3 linked regions of the Nothobranchius furzeri genome follow. The protein of the gene in region 1 purifies or fractionates together with the protein of each later gene. This does not show direct contact. Links are inferred from orthologs where the notes say so. Each region holds a gene or a part of one and is shown on either strand. Other genes may lie near its edges. The genes, in order: eps15, ap2s1 and fcho2.

Region 1 (7,014 bases):
CAGGGTGCCCCTGGGGACACGGTCATAAGCCTTCTCCAAATCCACAAAGCACATGTGGATTGGTTGGGCAAACTCCCATGCCCCCTCCATCACCCTTGCAAGGGTATAGAGCTGGTCCACAGTTCCACGGCCAGGACGAAAACCACATTGCTCCTCCTCTATCTGAGATTCAACTATCGATCGGACCCTCCTCTCCAGTACCTTGGCGTAGACCTTTCCAGGGAGGCTGAGGAGTGTGATCCCCCTATAGTTGGAACACACCCTCAGGTCACCCTTCTTAAAGATGGGGACCACCACCCCGGTCTGCCACTCCCTAGGAACTGCCCCCGATGACCACGCAATGTTGTAGAGACGCGTCAACCATGACAGCCCTACAACATCCATAGCCTTGAGATACCCAGGACGAACCTCATCCGCCCCCGGGGCTCCGCCGCTGTGTAGTTGTTTGACTACCTCAGCAACTTCTGCCCCCGAGATCGGACAGTCCATCCCCAGGCCTCCCAGCTCTGGTTCCTCCTCAGAATGCGCATTGGTGGGATTGAGGAGCTCCTCAAAGTATTCCTTCCACCGTCCGACTATAGCCTCAGTTGACGTCAGCAGCTCCCCATCCCCACTGTAAACAGTGTGAGCGAGTTGCTGCCTTCCTCTCCTGAGGCGCCGGACAGTTTGCCAGAACCTCTTTGGAGCCGATCGATAGTCTTTCTCCATGGCCTCACCAAACTCCTCCCACGCCCGAGATTTTGCCTCGGCAACTGCCACTGCTGCACCCCGCTTGGCTATCCGGTACCTGTCTGCTGCCTCCGGAGACCCACAGACCAGCCACGCCCTGTAGGCCTCCTTCTTCAGCCTGACGGCTCCCCGAACCTCTGGTGTCCACCAGCGGGTACGGGGGTTGCCACCACGACTGGCACCGGCCACCTTACGACCACAGCTAGCAACAGCCGCCTCGACAATCGCAGAGTGGAACAAGGCCCACTCGGACTCAATGTCCCCCACTGCTCTCGGGACGTGGTCAAAGCTCTGCCGGAGGTGGGAGTTGAAGACCGTCTTGACAGGTTCTTCTGCCAGGCGTTCCCAGCAGACCCTCACTATGCGTTTGGGTCTGCCAGGTCTACGCGGCATGTTCCCTTGCCATCTGATCCAACTCACCACCAGGTGGTGATCAGTTGACAGCTCCGCCCCTCTCTTCACTCGGGTGTCCAAAACATACGGTCACAGGTCAGATGATATGACTACAAAATCTATCATCGACCTGTGACCTAGGCTGCCCTGGTACCAAGTGTACCGGTGGGCATCCTTATGTTCGAACATGGTGTTCGTTATGGCCAAACTGCGGCTTGCACAGAAGTCCAATAACAAAACACCGCTCGAGTTCTGATCAGGTGGGCCGTTCCTCCCAATCACACCCCTCCAGGTCAAGCTGTCATTGCCCACGTGAGCATTGAAGTCCCCCAGCAGGACAATGGAGTCCCCTGATGGAGCACTATCTAGCACTCGTCCCAGGGACTCCAAAAAGGGTGGGTACTCTGAACTGATATTTGGCCCATACGCACAAACAACAGTCAGGACCCGTTCCCCGACCCGAAGGCGCAAGGAAGCTACCCTCTTGTCCCCCGGGGTAAACCCCAACACACAGGCAGAGAGTCTCGAGGCTAACAAAAAGCCAACCCCAGCCCTCCGCCTCTCACCCGGAGCAACTCCAGCAAAGTAGAGTGTCCAACCCCTCTCCAGGTCTCGGGTTCCAGAGCCAATGCAATGTGTCGAGGTGAGTCCGACTATATCTAGCCGGTACCGCTCAACCTCTGCCACAAGCTCCGGCTCCTTCCCCGCCAGCGAGGTGACGTTCCATGTCCCAAAAACTAGTTTCCTTGTCCGGGGATTGGACCGCCAAGGCTCCCGCCTTGGTCTGCCACCCGATTCACATTGCACCGGACCCTTCATGTTCCTCCTGCGGGTGGTGGGTCCACAGTTGGACGAGCCCATGTATCCGGTTCGGGCTGGGCCCGGCCGGGCCCCATGGGCGAAAGCCCGGCCACCAGGCGCTCGCTCACGGGCCCCAACCCCAGGCCTGGCTCCAGGGTGGGACCCCGGTAACCCTCCGGGCCGGGTACTCCGACTCTTCGTTTTCACCGCCATGAAAGATCCTTCGAACCGTTCTTTGTCTCACCCTTCACCTAAGACCAATTTGTCATGGGAGACCCTACCAGGGGCACTAAGTGCCCCAGACAACATAGCTCCTAGGATCATTAGGGCACTCAAACTCCTCCACCACAATAAGGTGACGGTTCAAGGAGGAGGTGTGCGAAATTTGTTCTCCGCAATTGACCCTGGGGGAGCGGTGAGCTGCAGACACAGCTGTGCTCAGGAACCATTTGGTGGCTTAACCCCCCAGTCCAACCCCTTAATGCTGAGTGTCAAGCAGGGAGGCATTGGGTCCCATTTTTTCAAAGTCTTTGGTATGACCCGACCAGGAATTGAACCCTGATCTCCCAGTCTCAGGGCGGTCACTCTACCACTAGGTCACTGAGCTGGTCTGCCAGGCAGCAGTATTTGTTGCCGGAGGGAGACGCGCTGCGTCACTCTCGAGATTTTGAGAAGTCAAGTGGTCACACAGGCGGAGCTGCTGAACGCTTCTTGGAAAGTCGCGTAATAGTCACAACATCACGTTGGACTTGAGAACAGAAATAAGGAAGTGACTCTATTGTTTATACATGATCAGACTTGCTGTCATGTTTTGTGAGACTCAAATTAATTAAAAATGGGTAAGTATGCTATTTATTTAAATTTGAAGTTATCAAAACTGTGGTTGGGTTTGTGCCGTAAAGCCATTCCACGTCGTAATGTCTGTTGTAAAGTACTCCACAATGTTGTAAACAGCTGCGCCGCGGCACTTGAGATAAAACTGGCACCTGTCTTCAGTGCCTAGGTGCAGCACAGCGCTTCTGGGACGCCGCGCGGCGTTCCCTGTGTACCCACTCTCATTAACTATAATGGCTTTTATTTAAAACGACGGCGCGGGTGCGGTGCGTCTGCCTTCAGTGTGCCCCAGGCTTAAGAGTCTGGTAGGAGTGACTTGCTCTTTAAATTGGAATGTCCAACCCTTTCAAGAGCAAAATAATCAACTGAATTTTTTTTAATAATGCTGCAGTTATTTTATGTTTTTATATGGTTCAAAACACCAAAAATATACACATTAATAAAAATGTTTGATCATGAAAATCTCAAAGTTTCTATCTACATCACCAGACTGCAGGAGAGACAAAATCCCACCATTCTAGAAATTCAATAATGAGGCCAAACAGTCTATGGGCCAAACAAAATCACTCCGAGGGCCACTAAGGGCCCCCGGGCCTCCTTTTGGGTGTGCCCGTATATTATGTCGATGGGCGTGCCCAGGGTTAAATGACTGGCCTGCTGTTAGTGGGTGTGATTGGACGACTCTGTATTTCGGGTCCGGTTCCAGGTTTTTCAGCGGCCTCTGTCTGTGTCTGGCAGCAGCGCAGCCTGAAAGCAGTGGGAAACAGAAACACTATGGCTGCCACTTTGTCTCTTACTCAGGTAACAGTGTCTTACAACTCAAATATAACGACAACGAACGCCGCGGGCTTCTGTCCGCGTTACTTGCGCCCAACTCAGTGGTGCTGGCCGGACTGGGCGGGCGGAAACGAGTGCTCTCCTCGACCGTCGTCGGTGTTGGGGAAGTTTTAGCCCTGCTGCGAAAAGTTTCTGTCTAATCTCTTTGGGGACTGCGTAAGGGCGTAGCTAGCCAGCTAGCCTGCCTGCTAACAGCTAGTTTATGTCCAGTGTGGGGCTGTTAGTGGGGCTTCTTTGTCAAACTTGACGTTTAGCTAACGTGACTTGGCTTTGGTTAGCAGTCTTTAAAACAACATTGCGCACCCTCTGTTAGCCGCAGGCCAGCCGGTCTTTGCTAAGAAGATGATAACCATGTGTGGCTCTCTGTTGTGGCTCTGCTGTCATATTTTAGTTGGTTAACGTTCGCTCCAAGTTTTAGTTATGTTGTGTTGCATCTTCTGCTTTCGTGTGCTTTATAAGCTACGTTGCTACTCCCATGGCTGTCTGCATGGTTACACTTGATATGGCTATAAATAGAATGAAACGTGCTTCGGTTGATGTGTTTTTATTCCTTTGACATTTTTGAAGTGGACAGACTTTATTATGTTCAATTATTTAATGTAAACGTTGAGTTAATTTTTAGTAGTGCAGCTTTAAATAATGTAAACTGTCGTTCTGAAACCAGTAAGAGGAAGTTAACTATGGCAGCCACTAGCTCGTTCTGCTGTCAGAAGTAAAAGCCTGTTGCTAGTTGGGTGAAGAACCCAAAGTTGGTGAATTGTAAGTTATTTAGCAGGTAGCGGGCAAGTTTAATTGGTATGGTCACCCGAGCCTCTGTTGCCTCTGTCAACAGAGCAGGAGCAGCGTTGTCTCTGTGTTTTCTCTTCATTGCTGCTGCTTCTTGTCTGATTAGTATCTAATCTGACCTCCATGTTTCTGCTGACACTGTTTACCATTTTATTGCTGTGACAATCAAACATGTTGAAATGTCAAAGAGAAACCAGCCTGTCCTGTTAACAAATGCAACATGATGCATCTTGTTGAATGCCAAAGTTTTGAATGAACTATGCAATAATGGTTATAGTTTTTTTTCACTTTATGGCTTTTTAAAGAGTGCAGTACAATGATGACAGTGTCACAGCCATCGATAGTTCCAGGCACACTACTGTGTTACAATTTCTGTGTGTGTGTGTGTGTGTGTGTGTGTGTGCGCGCGCGCGTCAACAGTTATCTCACTTTAAAATTGGCATTTAGTTGTCCAAAGTAGCTGACAGACAACTGCTGATGACAGGCTATGTTTTTTTTCTTATGTGCCAGAGTTGGTTACATAATTTACTCCTAAGCTGATGTTGCTGTTTTCTTCTTCATCTTCATATTGGTTTGGAGATGGAAGGAAAGCTTTTAAGACTGCTCCTCAGCACATCCACTTACCAGATAATTGCTGTCCACTCCTTTTCTCTATTTCATGGAAGCTACCATTTAGCATTTTTAGTTTAAAAACAGGGAAATGCTGATTTGTTTCCTGTTTAGCTCAGATGAGAAGAGGAAAGAAGGGATATTACATCAGAAAAGCAAATTACTCTCGAGTGTTAACATCTTGTGGCTTAGTTTGAACACAAATCACAGGCTTCCAGAAGGTATCGTCATGGTAATTCAGCTCAGAGCTTTAGTATCAGTTAGCCTTGCTTTGCAGTTTCATCACCAGAAAATAATGATTAACTTTGCTTTGTATAAAAAACACAAAGATATGTTTGTCATTTAATTTTTGCATGAATAAAGACTCACCTCTTAGAACCTGTAACAGTGAAAATCTAATTATTCAACAATCAAGAATCCCAGTAGTGGCATCACTTGTTCTTCACAAAAGTGGCATTACTTCAACGTGTCTTTGGTTTTACTGATTAATTATGATCAGTTCTGGGATAAGCTAACATTTTGTGGCATATTTTAGGCTTTATAATATTTTAAATTTAAAGGTTAAATCTACTGGTGCATGTACTCTAGTGGCTCTGTGGCTTTTTAAACTCTGTGGTTAACGTTTTCAGTTTTTGATCTTCTGACTGATTTTCTCTAGCTGCCAGATTATATTTTATTCAAATTTGTAAACTAAAAAGATTTCTTAGAGAAATACAGACATTTTAGGTTTTTGTAACTGACACTTTAAAATTTTGTTTTGGACTCTATGAAACGCATCAAATGAGGTTTGCAAAATTTACAAACATGCTTTTATTTGTTTTCAGCTTTCCAGTGGAAATCCCATCTATGACAAACATTATCGACAGGTAATGGAAACGACCACTCCTCTTCCCTTTGTTAAATTATATTATAAGCATGAATATTTATTATAGCAATTTAAATATCAGTAGTTTTTTTAACCAATGTCATTCAGTTGTGTCAAATTCAAACAGACTAACACAGAACAACCGTTTTTATCTGTTGCTTTTGTGAATTTAAAATTGAAATTAGCTGTAGAGCTTTCACTGGTGAGTTCTCTCTTCTGCCTTTTCTTTTCCAGCCTATGAATTAATAATGTTTCCCTTTGACAACCATTCAGGGAAGCTCCCTCTGGGCTTTCTAATGGAGTGCTGAGCTAATACTACAGAGATTATAATAGTTCTGGTTAAAGTGAGACACAGGCTCTTTATTCAGAACCTGTGCATCCGAGCGTCATGCACATTAAACATGCTGCTGTGGGCGTGCATGCAGGTGGATCCCACTGGCAGCGGGCGGGTAGCGGCAGCTGATGCGGCTCTGTTCTTGAAGCGGTCAGGGTTGGCTGACATGGTCTTGGGCAAGGTGAGCTAAGTTTTGTCTCAATCCCAACTTAGCGTCTCTGTCTTGGCTTCAGGGTTAACAGTAGAACTCCAAAGGCAGTCGTTTTGACTGCTTCCTGACTTATGTGTCCTTTAATTTTCATGTTAACATTGATCAAATATCAATAAAGAAATATTGTTATTTTTGTCTCTATATCCAGCCTCGCATTCCAACGGTCAGAATGCCAATCGTCATAGTGACTGCTAGTGGGAGTTCTAGTTGTGTTGGAATGCTGGCAGAACTAATGTTAGTAGTGTTTAAAATAAATGCATAATGATATCTTCGTAGATCTGGGATTTAGCTGACTCTGAAAGAAAAGGAGCGCTCAATAAACAGGTACAAACAGAGGACTTTATGTCATGGTGGGTTTATTTTTGGTGCTGGATCGACACCAGGCTTACATTATTCTTTCTAATGTCCCTTCAGCAATTCTTCGTGGCGCTGCGGTTGGTGGCTTGTGCACAGAACGGCCTGGAGGTGGCGCTTAAAAGTCTTAATGTGGCCGTTCCTCCCCCCAAATTTGTAAGTTTGTGACTGAGCCACAAATGTTCTGTAGATGGGAACTTCCTCATACACGGACACCACCTCTTTGTTTCTACTGTTCTGATTTTTTTCTTGTAGTTAAAC
Region 2 (6,967 bases), on another chromosome or scaffold:
ATGAATCAGAGTTGTGTCAACACTGAGAATATTTTAACAACAACAAGGTGGTTCCCATGGACCTGTCAGCTGAGAACTATAGTCCTTTACAGTAGATGATCAACTAAAGGATGATGCCTCTCAACTTAGGTTTCAGTTCCGTCTTCAAAAAATGTGAATTTTAGATTCTGTTCATGTGTTATAGGCCTGATTTTTTTTATTTTATCCTCCACTTTGTCTACTGAGCACACACTCCTCAAACAGCTCTTTCCCCCACTATAACAGTATTTTAAACCTTTAAAAAGGGATAACCTGACACTCTTATTTCCATTCCTTCACAGCGGATCTCTGTTTCATGCACAGATTCAAATATTAGTCATCATCTAACATATTTGAATGTCCCATGGCTGCATCGCATAGAAAAATTTTGCTTTAAGAACCAAGAACTGTGACCTAAAAGTCTCATCCAGCAGCAGAAAGGGGGAATTTTTCCTTCCCGAGAAAATCAATCATCTCAAAGGTATTCCTAATTACTTGAGTCGTTCTCGGAGTCGTCCACTTGATAAAAGAATTACTATGAAGAGGTTTGCACTCTGATTAGTTCAGCCACTGAATGAATAATTGAATCTTCCGAGGAGGACGGTGGAGCTCTGTTTTCATATTTGAAAAATGTCTGCTGAGTAAAAGAAGACAATGGGCTTCGAGAGCTCAAACGCCAGCTTAATGTCTCTATTCTTGAAAGTCGTCACCTTTTCCACTTGTTGGTGTTTTCAGGGTCCTAGAAAATGGGCCAGTCATAGGGGTCCTCACAATCTGAGATAAAATGACCAATAATGGAGACATCATCACATTAAAATATTTCCTTATTTACGTATGAGACGCATAAAGTGTCCCACGTCTTACCTGACAGAATGAATGATTCATCCTAAATATGAGTCAGGGTTCAAGGTGTGTTGTTTGAGTGAATCCATTTGCTTCTGTCCACTGTGCTTTCATAATATTTGCATGACCTCAATCACACAAAGCAAGATTAGCCTGCAGGGTCAAAGTTCTTATTGAATAATCTGCTTCTGTTTTACGTCCCTTTATCCCAGCTTTGATCTTTTTTCATTATTATTATTATTTATTTTTCCGGGCCTTTTTTACTACCTCGTCCCTCTCCTTGAGTAATGAAATGCATCGCTGTTGAAATTATTTTCTTGCGAAACATTACCGCAGTGTTATAAATCTAAGCACGACTAAAGTCAGTCAAAGCTCACAAGCATTACAGAGGGGATAAAAACAATTTCCCTTTGTTTACACGCTTTCCCTTTTTCTTCTATTCTTTTACGTTTGCACCATTTGCAGCTGAGATATCTCTGGGTCCCAAGGGCAGGCGCATTCCTTTACACAAGAGTTGTGCAATCCCCCCCCCCCCCCCACCCCCACCCCCCCAACCTACACCTCCTCCCATCAGACTCCCTAAATGCCCAGAGCGCTCAGATCCAAGCTGTCTAAACTGTCTGTGCAGTGGCCTGTGGTGGACTGCCCAGCCAGACCCGTAAACAAATGCTAAGCCTTGATAATGCAGGAATAAAACACAAACAACTTCACAATTGTGCAGAAATGTGTGACTATATATAGATTTTTTCAGTAACCTGTAACACCTGAGACAAATTATGTATGACAAACTAATTTACAAAGGGAACATAGCCGTAGTTTTATATGATCTGTCCTTCATGTTTGTGCACTAAATCTTTCCATATAGTGCAGCATAATAGTAAAACTACAATAGCTAAGTAATTTTTCATTACCAAAATTCATATGAAATATAAAACTTTTTCAGGAATTTTTTGGCTTTTTTTTTGCCTTTTTTGACAAAAGTTTTGACTATTTATGACATTTAATCAGCTGCAATCTGTTCTTGCAATTCTTTCCATGGAAATTGCATTTCTTGCTGAAAAATATTATCATAAAAATAATGCATACATCTTAGGTTTCACAACTGAGATTGTTTTATAAAACACTTATGTTTAAATTAACTAAACGCTAACTAGTATGCTTGAATAGAATTGTGGTGGGTTGCATGAAAGCCTCTGAAATAGTTGAAATTTATTTTATTTTATTTTATTTTTTTACTAGGAACTAAATGATTGAATATCACGAACCTGTAACGCTCAAAAAATTATGTGTTAAACTGGCTTGACATATATGTTAAACTGGCTTGACATACATTAATTTGTGAAGGTTTTTCTCATGTGATCCAAAAACGCAACGAAACTCGATACGTCAATCGGGACCGCTGGTTGTTGTAGTTTCTCGTGGATTACATTGACTTGGCAGAAAAGCAGCGATGACTACGTTTCCCAGAATGCAACATAACTCGGCGTAGTTTTGCACATCCTGTTAGCTTGAGAGGATAGCGGACGAACGGGCGGAAAAAAGAGATACCGATGTTTTAATATAAAAGTGGTGCATTATTGCTCATGAACGTAATATTCTGGAGTGCCCAAGAAGCATATTAGGAAGACGAAAATGGTAAAGTTATTCAATTATTCAAGTTAATCTTTTTTTTTATTAGCCGTCAGGTTATGTTAGCGTTTAGAACTCGACAGATAAGCACTCCATTCAGTCTAGAAAACTATACTGGTGGTTAAATTGAGGGTTTAACCACAGAAAACCTCCACTTTAGCCTATGTAGATAGCATGGTGAAATTCAAGAATGTCGAAGTGTACGCATTATGTTAAAAGCTAGGTGTGGTTTAATAGTGCTACCTTTTACACCAGCCAAGCTAACGGTCAGTAATAGCTTCAGTTACTTTCACATCTCAGTAAGCTGGAGTTCCATAGCTGCCAATCTATGGTACATATTATTCCAGTGTGTTAATCATTTGTGTGGGTGGGTTTTGTTGCAGATTATTTTGTTTGATCTAATCCGTTTTCTATCCCAAAGATCCGCTTTATCCTCATCCAGAACCGAGCAGGGAAGACACGATTGGCTAAATGGTACATGCAGTTCGATGATGACGAAAAGCAGAAACTGATCGAAGAAGTGCATGCTGTGGTTACAGTCAGGGATGCCAAGCACACCAACTTTGTGGAGGTATGGGATTGTATAAATGCTTTAATGTGTGGCTGTTTTTGCAGACTGCATAGACATTAAAAAGTTAAGATTTCTAATTTTAAGTATAGCTCAATACTCTTGAAAGAGAGGCTGAAATGCAATTGGATTGTAATGTTTCATATATGGATGTTGATCAATATCTGCAGGAAAATAACATTCAAAAGAACATATTTTCTATTTATTGAACTTGGTCTGTATGTGAAGATAACGCCTTAAATACACCCTTGGGTGACTTATCATTTTTAACAAATACAGTATAATAGAAGAGGTTCCCACCTGTTTATTTTTTGCTTGTAGTAGACTTAAATATAATTATTGGTATACAAAGCCTTGAGTCTCTCAGCTCTGCTGAAACTTCTGTTACACAAATCTAAATTTCTAATTGGATTTCACCATTTTGTCCTCACAGTTCAGGAACTTCAAGATCATTTACCGACGTTATGCAGGCCTGTACTTCTGTATTTGTGTGGATGTGACTGATAACAACCTGGCATACCTCGAGGCGATCCACAACTTTGTTGAGGTAAACAATGAACACACACAAACATCCATCCATCATTTATTTATGAAGCACATTTAAAAACACAGCATTTCAGCTGTCCAGAGTGCTGTACAGGAGGTCCAAAGGCCAAAAAACAGTGGTGGGCTACTCTACAAAATAGATGAGAGAGGAGGGAAAGTATAACAAGTTGGAAGTAAAAAGAGCCCAAACTGTACAAATTGTAGAAAAAGAAAACAAGAACCTAGCAGTAGCTAATACACTTAAAATGAAATCAGTGGACATATGAACAAAACAATAACCTTATTTCGAGATAAAACACACACATGACCTGTGCTTGTCATGGTCTGGTGGGGTTTAGGAGTGTTTCTTTGTGGCTGTGATTTGTTACCTTGCAGTTCTTGAATGCCAAACTGGCTGCATTTTTGTGTGGATTAAAAACTAACATATAGTGGTTAAAAATGATCGTCATTCAGTTATGAAGGCATGGAAAGCATTCATAATAAATGTGTGATTTGGCAATTAAATGTTCACCTTATATAACATCTGTCTGGTGCAGAATGTGTCAGGAGAAAATAATTGAATTTATTTAAAATTATTTAACCTCTATTTCAGCACCGGTTTGAAACACTTAAGCATCAAATACAATTAAAGTTTTTATTTTTATATTTTGATGATTGAATGTTTTGGCTTCGAGTCTGAAACAGAAATGAGGTAAAATTTCACTATTCTGTTTTAGCAGCAGTGTTTTCAGTCTGATCTTTGTGCTTTTACAATAATAATTTTGCACAAGTGAAGCTGACGGTATCCACCTAAACTACTTTTGAAGCCTTTCTCTGAAATGGACCACCTCAGGGATTATTGAGCGGTTTATTTTTTGTTTTTGCATAGAACTGTTAAAAAACTAGGACAAAATGGTTAAATTTGTTGTTATGCTGCAGCCTTTCTGCCATTTCTCACACAATGGAAAGCAAATGGGCAGCTGTGGAAGCCAGAATAAAGTAGAAGAAAATCAATAGTAGACAATAGCTGTCCTTGTTACCGTTAGCCAACAGCTAAACCAAATCCTGAACAACAGGTTTAAAATGTTGTTTTATTTAAAGTGAATTTGGTATTTTCTGTTCTGCAGTCGCATTTCACTCGTAGGAATTGTCGGTAATTGTCGTACACACTTTGGTTGTGTAGCTTAAAATGTACATTTTTCTGTTTCTCTTTGCTGGAAGGTGCTGAATGAATATTTTCACAATGTGTGCGAACTGGATCTTGTGTTCAACTTCTACAAGGTGAGAACACACAGAGGGATTATTTTTCAGATTTGACACAATCTCTGATAGAAAGACATTACATGTATTTTTAATTGTATTATTTTGATGACAAAGAGGGGGAGTTGGGTCATGTTCGCATGCAGTTGATGGTATTTGTGCTCAGATCAGTATTTGTCCTCTCATCTGTTTTGTGCGTCTGTCTCAAGGTGTACACGGTGGTGGACGAGATGTTCCTGGCAGGAGAGATCAGGGAGACCAGTCAGACCAAGGTTCTCAAGCAGCTCCTCATGCTCCAGTCTCTTGAGTGAAAATGTGTCCTTCCTGTGCTTTTTATCTTCTGCCCAACCCGACCTTCACCATGTCCCTATCACTCTGGAAGAACCACACCATTCTCCATGCCCCTGCAGAGCCAGCTCTCATCTTCAAGACAAGGAGGGAGGGGGTTGTTTTGAATAAAAATACACAATATTGTTTACGTATGGATATGAGTTCAGCTGTTTGCCATAGCAGCCCATATGTTGCATTATTCTGATAAACTGCTATAGATGTCATCAACAAGCCTACAGTCTCAGTAGATTTTAACATTTCAAATAGTCCTGCCAATGTTATGAGCTTTGTAACTAACTGCAGAAAAGAGTTGTTTCATGTTTGCATTTATCCATGTTCACTGTGGAAATCAGTGTGAGACTGCTCTCTGTCCCAGTAACCTAAACATTTACTCAATGGCACTACTGTAACTAACAAGCACCATAAAAATAAACTGCAGATAGACCCGAGAACCCCCAACAGCTCCGTAGTTGTTTCTAGACGTCCAGTGTTGTGGGTTATCTCTGCTGAGTCCCAGCCCACCAGCGGACTACAAGTAGGAAGCTCTTCAGAGCCGTTGACCCAGCAGAGAAAGTTCATCCCAGAATGGAGCGTACTCGGGATGAGGAGCGTTTCAGTGGGGTGTTATGGTGACCGGTGACGAGAGAGAAAGTTATGTTGGATTTGTTCAGCTTTGCTTCCAATTACATCAAATGGTGCTTGTTCCCTCTTAAAACACTTAAATACAAAGAAAACCTGGACAGAGTCAGTTTTACATGAAGTGGAACTTTTGCTTTGCGTTGTGTTTGTATACACACACACACACACACACAAATATTTAGCATCTTATGTCCAGTACTGTGTAAAAAAAAAAAAAACAGCTCCTAATCATCTTGAGATTCATACATTCCTTTGATGTTTATTTGCCTAAAACCATAACATGGATGTATGGTGGATGGAAATCTGCTTTATTCATACAGGGGTTAAATGTTTTATCAACATCCCATGATCTAATTTTAACCATATCCAGTCAGATAATCTGAAACTACTTATTTCTTATGAAATAGTAATGACCTATATCCTGTTTCCCTTGTGAGTTAGCTGGTGGAACATGTGTTACAGTCTATTCAACACCTATTTGTCCAGTTTTGTGTAAATAAACAGATTAAGTGATTCTGCTGTCTGTTACTCCTTTTTTCTCTCCAGGATCTTAACGCCATCTAGTGGTGAAAACAATTTAGTCCTAAATCAAGTGAAATGGTTATGAGGTCATTGTGCCAGCCTGCTGGAATCAGTGGATCCATCAACACATCCACTCCAGCCACGCTAGTCGTTACTCCATCGACCCAGGAGGGTAAATCCTGACGATTTGACACGGAGGACATTAACTCGGCTCCGAGTCCTCCGATATCCTCACCTCAACTCCTCTGAATGAAATGACTGGAGAGAGACAGAGGAGGAGGAACATCAATCATTTAACTTTCCATCAAGTCAGCCGTCAATAAATCTGGACTGTAGCTGCGTCTGATTTCTGCTCACAACAGGAGGGAATGAGCTGATGCGCTTTGATAAACAGCAGCTTAAAGGCAATACGCACATCGGGGGAAGATTCAATGGAAAACAAGCAGTTTACTGGGAATTACAACAATCACAATAGATAAATCTTATTTACAGGATAGGCTACTCGTACAGCAGTATTCAGGTTGCATATTTCACATATTTTACAGAACAGCTGTTCATCGAATGATCAAATCCAGACTGGAACTTGTGGCATAATAATATATTTATGGCTATTCTGAAGTCTGCTTATTATGA
Region 3 (6,250 bases), on another chromosome or scaffold:
ACGTCAGAGCTTGCATGTTGAACCAGAAGTCCTTGGAGTTTGAGTCGCTTTGGGATGAATCACTAGACACAATACACACACACAGAATAATCACGGACTCATTATTCATCGCTCTTCTTGGCTTTGTGTGTAAAGCTCCAATAGCTTGGAAAAAATGACCCTGTTAAATTTAACCAGCTACTAAATCATTGGGCTGATTCGATTAGCTCAGCTATGCGGTGTCGGGATAACAGAAAGGAACCGGAGTGAAAATCATAAAATAAAATAAAAATTAAAAAGTTTTTTTTTCTTTTGGAGAAAAATCTCATTTAAAACAAATCCAACACTCTCATTTCCGTACTGAAAGAACAGGAGATGGTGGTCTGCAGTACCACTGCTTGAACTAATGAGGTGAGAAACAGAGAAAATTGTTTAAAGGACAAAGTGCTGAATGAAGCAGATGTTAAATGAAGTGTTTCAGGGGGTCTTTTGGAAGAGAACCTGTCTGTGGACGTCTGGAGGAAAATACTTCTCCGACAGCTTAATGATAGCTTAATGTCGGATTGCTAATTGAATTTCCTGTTGCTGGTGCAGACTACATTTTCTGGATTTTTGCTCTCACGTCTGAGTCCAAATCATTCTTCCACTGAACCACAGCTCCTGTCTCCTCACCTGAATAAAAGCTGCTGGTTGGGTAAGATCTGCTCCAGCCTGCTGGTGTTCTTCAGTTTGAAGGTCAGGGTGGCTGGAGATGGGTTGGTGGTGAACACCTTGATGATGCCCATAGGGAACGACAACGTCATGTCTCCTGTGATCTTCACAATGCACCTGTGGAGTGCGTCGGATCAGAGTTCATTTATTTTTATTATCTGCCATAAAGCTGCAGGTTAATAACAAAAAACGTGATGAAAAAACTGAAGAAGCAAAAGACAACATGTGATGTAAAATTTCTTACAATCACTGCTTTAGGTGTGATGTAAAGAACGGTTCACAAGATCTGTCATGGAGGTAAAGTCAAAGAGTCAGAGTACCCGGCCCGGATGGTTACAGGGGTCCCACCCTGGAGCCAGGCCTGGGGTTGGGGCCCGTGAGCGAGCGCCTGGTGGCCGGGCTTTGACCCATGGGGCCCGGCTGGGCCCAGCCCGAACCGGATACATGGGCTCATCCAACTGTGGACCCACCACCCGCAGGAGGAACATGAAGGGTCCGGTGCAATGTGGATCGGGTGGCAGACCGAAGCGGGAGCCTTGGCGGCCCGATCCCCGGACAAGAAAACTGGCTTTTGGGACATGGAACGTCGCTGGCGGGGAAGGAGCAGGAGCTTGTGGCAGAGGTTGAGCAGTACCGGCTAGATATAGTCGGACTCACCTCGACACATAGCATTGGCTCTGGAACCCGAGTCCTTGAGAGGGGTTGGACACTCTACTTTGCTGGAGTTGCTCCGGGTGAGAGGCGGAGGGCTGGGGTTGGCTTTTTGTTAGGCCCAAGACTCTCTGCCTGTGTGTTGGCTTAAAACCAATATCACAATATATTGAGGACTTCACCTCGATATCGATAACTGGACGATAACTACACGTATGTGCAGAAACAAAAGATGGAGCTGTCACGTGTATTATGTTGAGTGATGTTTTTCCGTGACTAGAGGTGGTACAGCTTCATAAAGGGACATGAATGTCGCCAACCTGCACACATATTTTCATTTTTTTTATTACTGAATTTACTGACATGGGAAAAACGATATCGGTAAGAGCCAGAAATTTCAATAAACATTCATTTTTTTTATTTATTGCCCAGCCCCACTTTTTACTGCTTCTATAGATCCCAACACAACAATTCTCTATAACAAACACACTATATCTAGTTTAACACAGAAAACTCCCAACTTCAGCTGTATCCTAGTCTTTAAGTTAACCTTAGAGTCTAGCTTGTAATATTCTGCTTTAGTTGTGCAACGTAGATCCAGTTTCTAAGTAATTTGGTGGCTGAAAGTAGTCCGTCATCAGTAGTGGGCCTGCTCTCGTCTGTGGTGGTGGTGGAGGACCACAGTGGGTCTCAACTTTGCGCCGTGTCTCTGCTGCATTGCTTATGAAATGTTCCATTTGCTAATCCCTTGGAAAAATAAGCCTTTGCGCAGCAGCAATTTAACAGCAGTTAACCAATAAAAGACTGTGTTTTTCTCTGCCTCGGACTATAATCTGCCTCGTGTGGGTTATCTATCCTGAAAGAATGGTGTCATACTCCAGCAAAACATTCCACATTTGAGCAGAGAGAGGAAGATGACAGCTGTAGGGCGCAACGGGCTAGAAAACGAGCGGTATTCAACTTTGAACTGCAGAACTCAGATAATGTGGTTCAGCTATAAAGACAACGTGCAAGTCCGTGTTGAGGTATTTGAGCAGCAGGAGGTCATGTGAGACTCACTTTGTGGGATCGGCTCCTTTGAAGTATGCATTAACCGACTCTGTGAAGGCAACGGCAATGGGCAAAGCATCCTGGGATGCCAAGGTCACAGGACTGGGACCGCGAGACGTTCCTGAGAAAGAAAAAGGCACAACGTGAAGGGTCTGTGGACTCGGCTGCAGTTCAAAATGAGCAAAACCAGAGAGAGTTTAAACTATTCAGAGACTGGGTTTAATCATTATTGCATTTCATCAGGTCAGCATTTTTAACACTGCAAACAAGCACATTGTTATTTAAAACAGAAGTTTTAATCAAATTAAACCAAATTTTGACATTTAGAGCAACCTTTATACCAACACTAAAAGCATAAATAAACAAATCATTCATGTTAGGAGTAGAAGCAGAGAAACAGGCAGCATATGCAGAAGAGCAGACACAACAGGAAGCTGCAAAGTAACGTCTCCGTTACTGCTGTTGGTTTTCTTCATTTGGCTCCTTTAGGGTGAACTTCATACCTGCTGGTGTTTCACACAGCTTCTCAAAGGTGGGCAGCTTCGCTATGAACACGTCATCCTCTTTACACCACATTAAAGGCACAACCAGGAAAGAGGAAGACACAAACCCAGAGAGCACAGTGAGAGGAGAGATGATGCTGGGCAGCACTGGAAACCGGTTTTAAGCGTGTGACGACAAGTGAGCCCCAAAGAGACTACGGCCTAGTCCACACGTAGCCGGGTTTTTTTAAAAACGAATATCCGCCCCTCCAAAAACTTGCATCCACACCACTGCGTTTAAAAAAAAAAACTCTGTCCACACGTACCCGGATAAATATGTTGTTAAGGACATGCCAGACCTGTAGGCGGCAGTACTTCCCCCGTTCTTAACCTCGTCCTTCGTCTGTGGTCTTCCGCAAGGAGCAGTAATTCCACTTGCAAAAACAAACAAGCAGAAAGCGCTTGGACAATTGATAAAGCGAGCGCAGCTCTGATGGCATCCATGCTGTCGGCTAGTGTAAACACAGGTCGCACACGTGATGTCAGCATTTTTTTTGTCGCGGAAAATGACGTTGTGGACCTTAAAACTCCGGTTCTGTCTGTCCACACGCAGACACCCAAAACGGAGAAAACGCAGATCTTCACTTTGGCCGGAGTTTTTAAAAAGATCTGTTTTCGTGTGAAAAAACTCTGCTTTCATGTGGATGACAGGCCAAAACGTAGAAAAATATCTACGTTTTGGCAGATCCCCGGCTACGTGTGGACAGGGCCTACAATCACAGACAGATGAACAACGGATTTATAAAAATATATTATAGAGTGGCTTATTGTTGGTTGTTTTTTTTATTAAAGAAGGCAGACATTCTTGTTTTGAGCTGAAATGTTTTGAAGCATCACGTCTTCTTTCTTTATTGGACTTTACGTGCTTTAAAAATCATCAGTTTTCAAAATTTAAATCACTCTACTTCTGGAGATAAGTGGGTCCCACCTTTGGGCACCCCTGATCTAGAACAGGGATGCTCAAACTTTTCATTCAAGAAACGCAAAAATTATTATATAGTGATTTATTTATCTTTTGTTTTGCAATGCTCAAATTTGATCCAAAGTAGTCATATTAGTATAAATCTTAAGATAAAAAGTATTTATCGACACCAATAACCCATTGAAGAAAGACATTTCATGATTCTAGAAATGCTTGTGTAGGCCGCACAAAATCACTTCATGGCCCACAATCGGCCCCCTGACCCCACTTTGGACATGCTTGATCTACAAGTCTTGGTTGGATTGTTTTCTATTTCTTTAATAGTTTGTTTTTCACAGACAGTTTTGTATTAATAGTGTACTGAGAACAAGTGACAAAAACTCGATAAACCTTAAAACGCATTCATAAAGATTAAGGAATCACTGTGGAAGTGGAAGGAGTCTCTCAAAGAAACATGTTCAAAGTGTGAGACTCACTCGGGCCTAGAAGGAAAGGAGGTTGGAAGGTGAAGAGCTCTGGCTCTAGGAAGCAAAAGTGGGAAGCAAAAGTGTGTTCAGGTCCTGCGTAGAGAGGAGTGAAGGAAAGAAGGAAGTAGGTGCAGAAACAGAGGTATGTGGGGATTGAGGGAAAAATAGGATACACTTATTTATGAAAAAGGGGTTTTACAACCAGGAAGAGCTCCTACCAACGGTGGGAGTGTTGCCGGCGCTGAGTGACGCATTTGAAGACAAAGAGGAGGAACTCTCAGCCCGGGCGAGTGGTGCAGTTGGAGGAGGGCTGGCGTTAGTTGCTTTCTGTGGGCTGAATGGTCGTACCTGAGTCCGGGAATAAAAATATTAGTGTGTATTCAAATAGACATCAGTTCAATGTTAAGATCAGGCATGACTGTGTTTTGTGTTATTTCAGTGTGAAATTCTTATTTATTGTACTTTTAAAGTAGCCTAGAAATCTAGACCGACCTGCAGAGCAGAATGATTTTGCTCTGCAGGTCGGTCTAGCCACGCTCCATTAGAGCCTCAGCAGGCCCAGCCAGTTTTGTGGCTGGCCAATCATAGCCCTCTATCACTTTGGTGGGCGGGATTTTACTGTGTCAGAGCAAAATAAAGATGACGACGGCTCATTTTAAACAGCTTTGGCATCAACTTCTGACTTGGGCTCTTTAAGAGCAGATAGAAGTACTTAAGTCCTTTAAGGATGTATTAGCGTCTTCTTCCAGACACAAGCCTGGAGGAGCTTCTGCCGTGTGGTAGAGTTGCTAATGCTAATATTTAGCTTCTACTATCTGAGACGTCTGCTGCTGATTCCCAGAAGTTGAAACAACAGCCATTTTCACTTCACTCACAATTTCATTGATCCCTGTGAGTTTTCCGGTGGGAACTTTGGGCCTGGAGGAGGGTCGTGGTGGAGGAACAAGGGCTCCAGCTGCCAGGGGGGTCGTGGGTCTGTTCGATAATGGCACTAGACAGAGAAACACAGTTGGGCCCTGCTGGTTACCAATAGTGAAATACCATGGAAATTAGTTATAAAAAAGCGTATTTTATGAATTGTTCAGTTGGACGCAGAATTGTCATGCATCATTTCAACACATCAACAGAAAAACAGAGGCAAAAGTAAAGCACGTTCCAAATGATACTCTTAAAGCCACGCAAAGAAATATAAACAAAAAGACAAATAAAATAGACAAGCATTAGTAAAATAAAACTATATGAAAGCAATAATCATACAATTAAAAACCTCAAGCATTAAAGCATACAAACGCAAGTAAACAGAACTCACACCCTCGAGCATAACACGCGTCTTGAGAGCCAGGATCATTGTTACCAGTGAACATTTTGTTGGATGGAGCTGCAGCCTTATCAGCGAAGACATCGGTGAAACTGAGGCTGCTGTCCTCGCTGCACCTCGTCGCTCTGCTGTAGACGTCTGCAGAGTCTTCTGACAGGAAGCGGCTTGACCTGCTGATGCCTGCCTGAACCCTCTGGAGCTCCAACACGGATGAACCCGAGCCACGACGGCAAGGCGGGGCAAAGTTATCACCAAAAGCAATCCACTGGCTCTGTGACCAGGAGACGCCCTCCTCGCTCTTCGGAGGGCCGGCAGCAGCCATGCTTTGGACGGGGTCAACTGGCTCGGTAGGCTGGGTGATGGGGGCGCTCTGGGCTCTCGCCATGGCAGGCTTGAGAGGTTGGAGTGGGTTTTCAGGTGAATCCCACGGAGAGGATGTGGACGAGGAGAAAGAGATATCTCTCGATTGCTGGCGTTCTGCCAAAGGAGCACAGCAGCTGCTCTGTGGCGCTGAGTCGACTGAAGGAGGCATTGTGATTAACAGAGACGGTAAGAATAAAGACATACACAACAGGATAGAGGTTTAGCAAGAAACCTGCAATTCCAGAAA

What was found.
Region 2: the proteins of eps15 (region 1) and ap2s1 purify together in Homo sapiens (affinity purification with mass spectrometry; 5 studies listed by BioGRID and IntAct, counting the BioPlex papers as one, with this or other methods). This does not show direct contact. The link is inferred for Nothobranchius furzeri from reciprocal best matches to the Homo sapiens genes EPS15 and AP2S1.
Region 3: the proteins of eps15 (region 1) and fcho2 purify together in Homo sapiens (affinity purification with mass spectrometry; 3 studies listed by BioGRID and IntAct, with this or other methods). This does not show direct contact. The link is inferred for Nothobranchius furzeri from reciprocal best matches to the Homo sapiens genes EPS15 and FCHO2.

What each region holds. Positions count from the first base shown.
Region 1 is NC_091748.1:56,886,952-56,893,965, reverse strand, and holds the start of eps15 (epidermal growth factor receptor substrate 15), read left to right. Parts: upstream 1-3,387; 5' UTR 3,388-3,402; coding exon 3,403-3,558; intron 3,559-5,813; coding exon 5,814-5,855; intron 5,856-6,279; coding exon 6,280-6,369; intron 6,370-6,675; coding exon 6,676-6,723; intron 6,724-6,813; coding exon 6,814-6,909; intron 6,910-7,014. UniProt on the Homo sapiens protein: Involved in cell growth regulation. May be involved in the regulation of mitogenic signals and control of cell proliferation. Involved in the internalization of ligand-inducible receptors of the receptor tyrosine kinase (RTK) type, in particular EGFR.
Region 2 is NC_091753.1:41,292,621-41,299,587, forward strand, and holds ap2s1 (AP-2 complex subunit sigma), read left to right. Parts: upstream 1-2,343; 5' UTR 2,344-2,493; coding exon 2,494-2,496; intron 2,497-2,911; coding exon 2,912-3,061; intron 3,062-3,491; coding exon 3,492-3,605; intron 3,606-4,804; coding exon 4,805-4,864; intron 4,865-5,052; coding exon 5,053-5,154; 3' UTR 5,155-5,625; downstream 5,626-6,967. UniProt on the Homo sapiens protein: Component of the adaptor protein complex 2 (AP-2). Adaptor protein complexes function in protein transport via transport vesicles in different membrane traffic pathways.
Region 3 is NC_091746.1:66,647,174-66,653,423, forward strand, and holds part of fcho2 (F-BAR domain only protein 2), read right to left. Parts: intron 6,160-6,250; coding exon 5,632-6,159; intron 5,314-5,631; coding exon 5,198-5,313; intron 4,671-5,197; coding exon 4,541-4,670; intron 4,416-4,540; coding exon 4,332-4,415; intron 2,955-4,331; coding exon 2,895-2,954; intron 2,513-2,894; coding exon 2,401-2,512; intron 808-2,400; coding exon 652-807; intron 63-651; coding exon 1-62. UniProt on the Homo sapiens protein: Functions in an early step of clathrin-mediated endocytosis. Has both a membrane binding/bending activity and the ability to recruit proteins essential to the formation of functional clathrin-coated pits.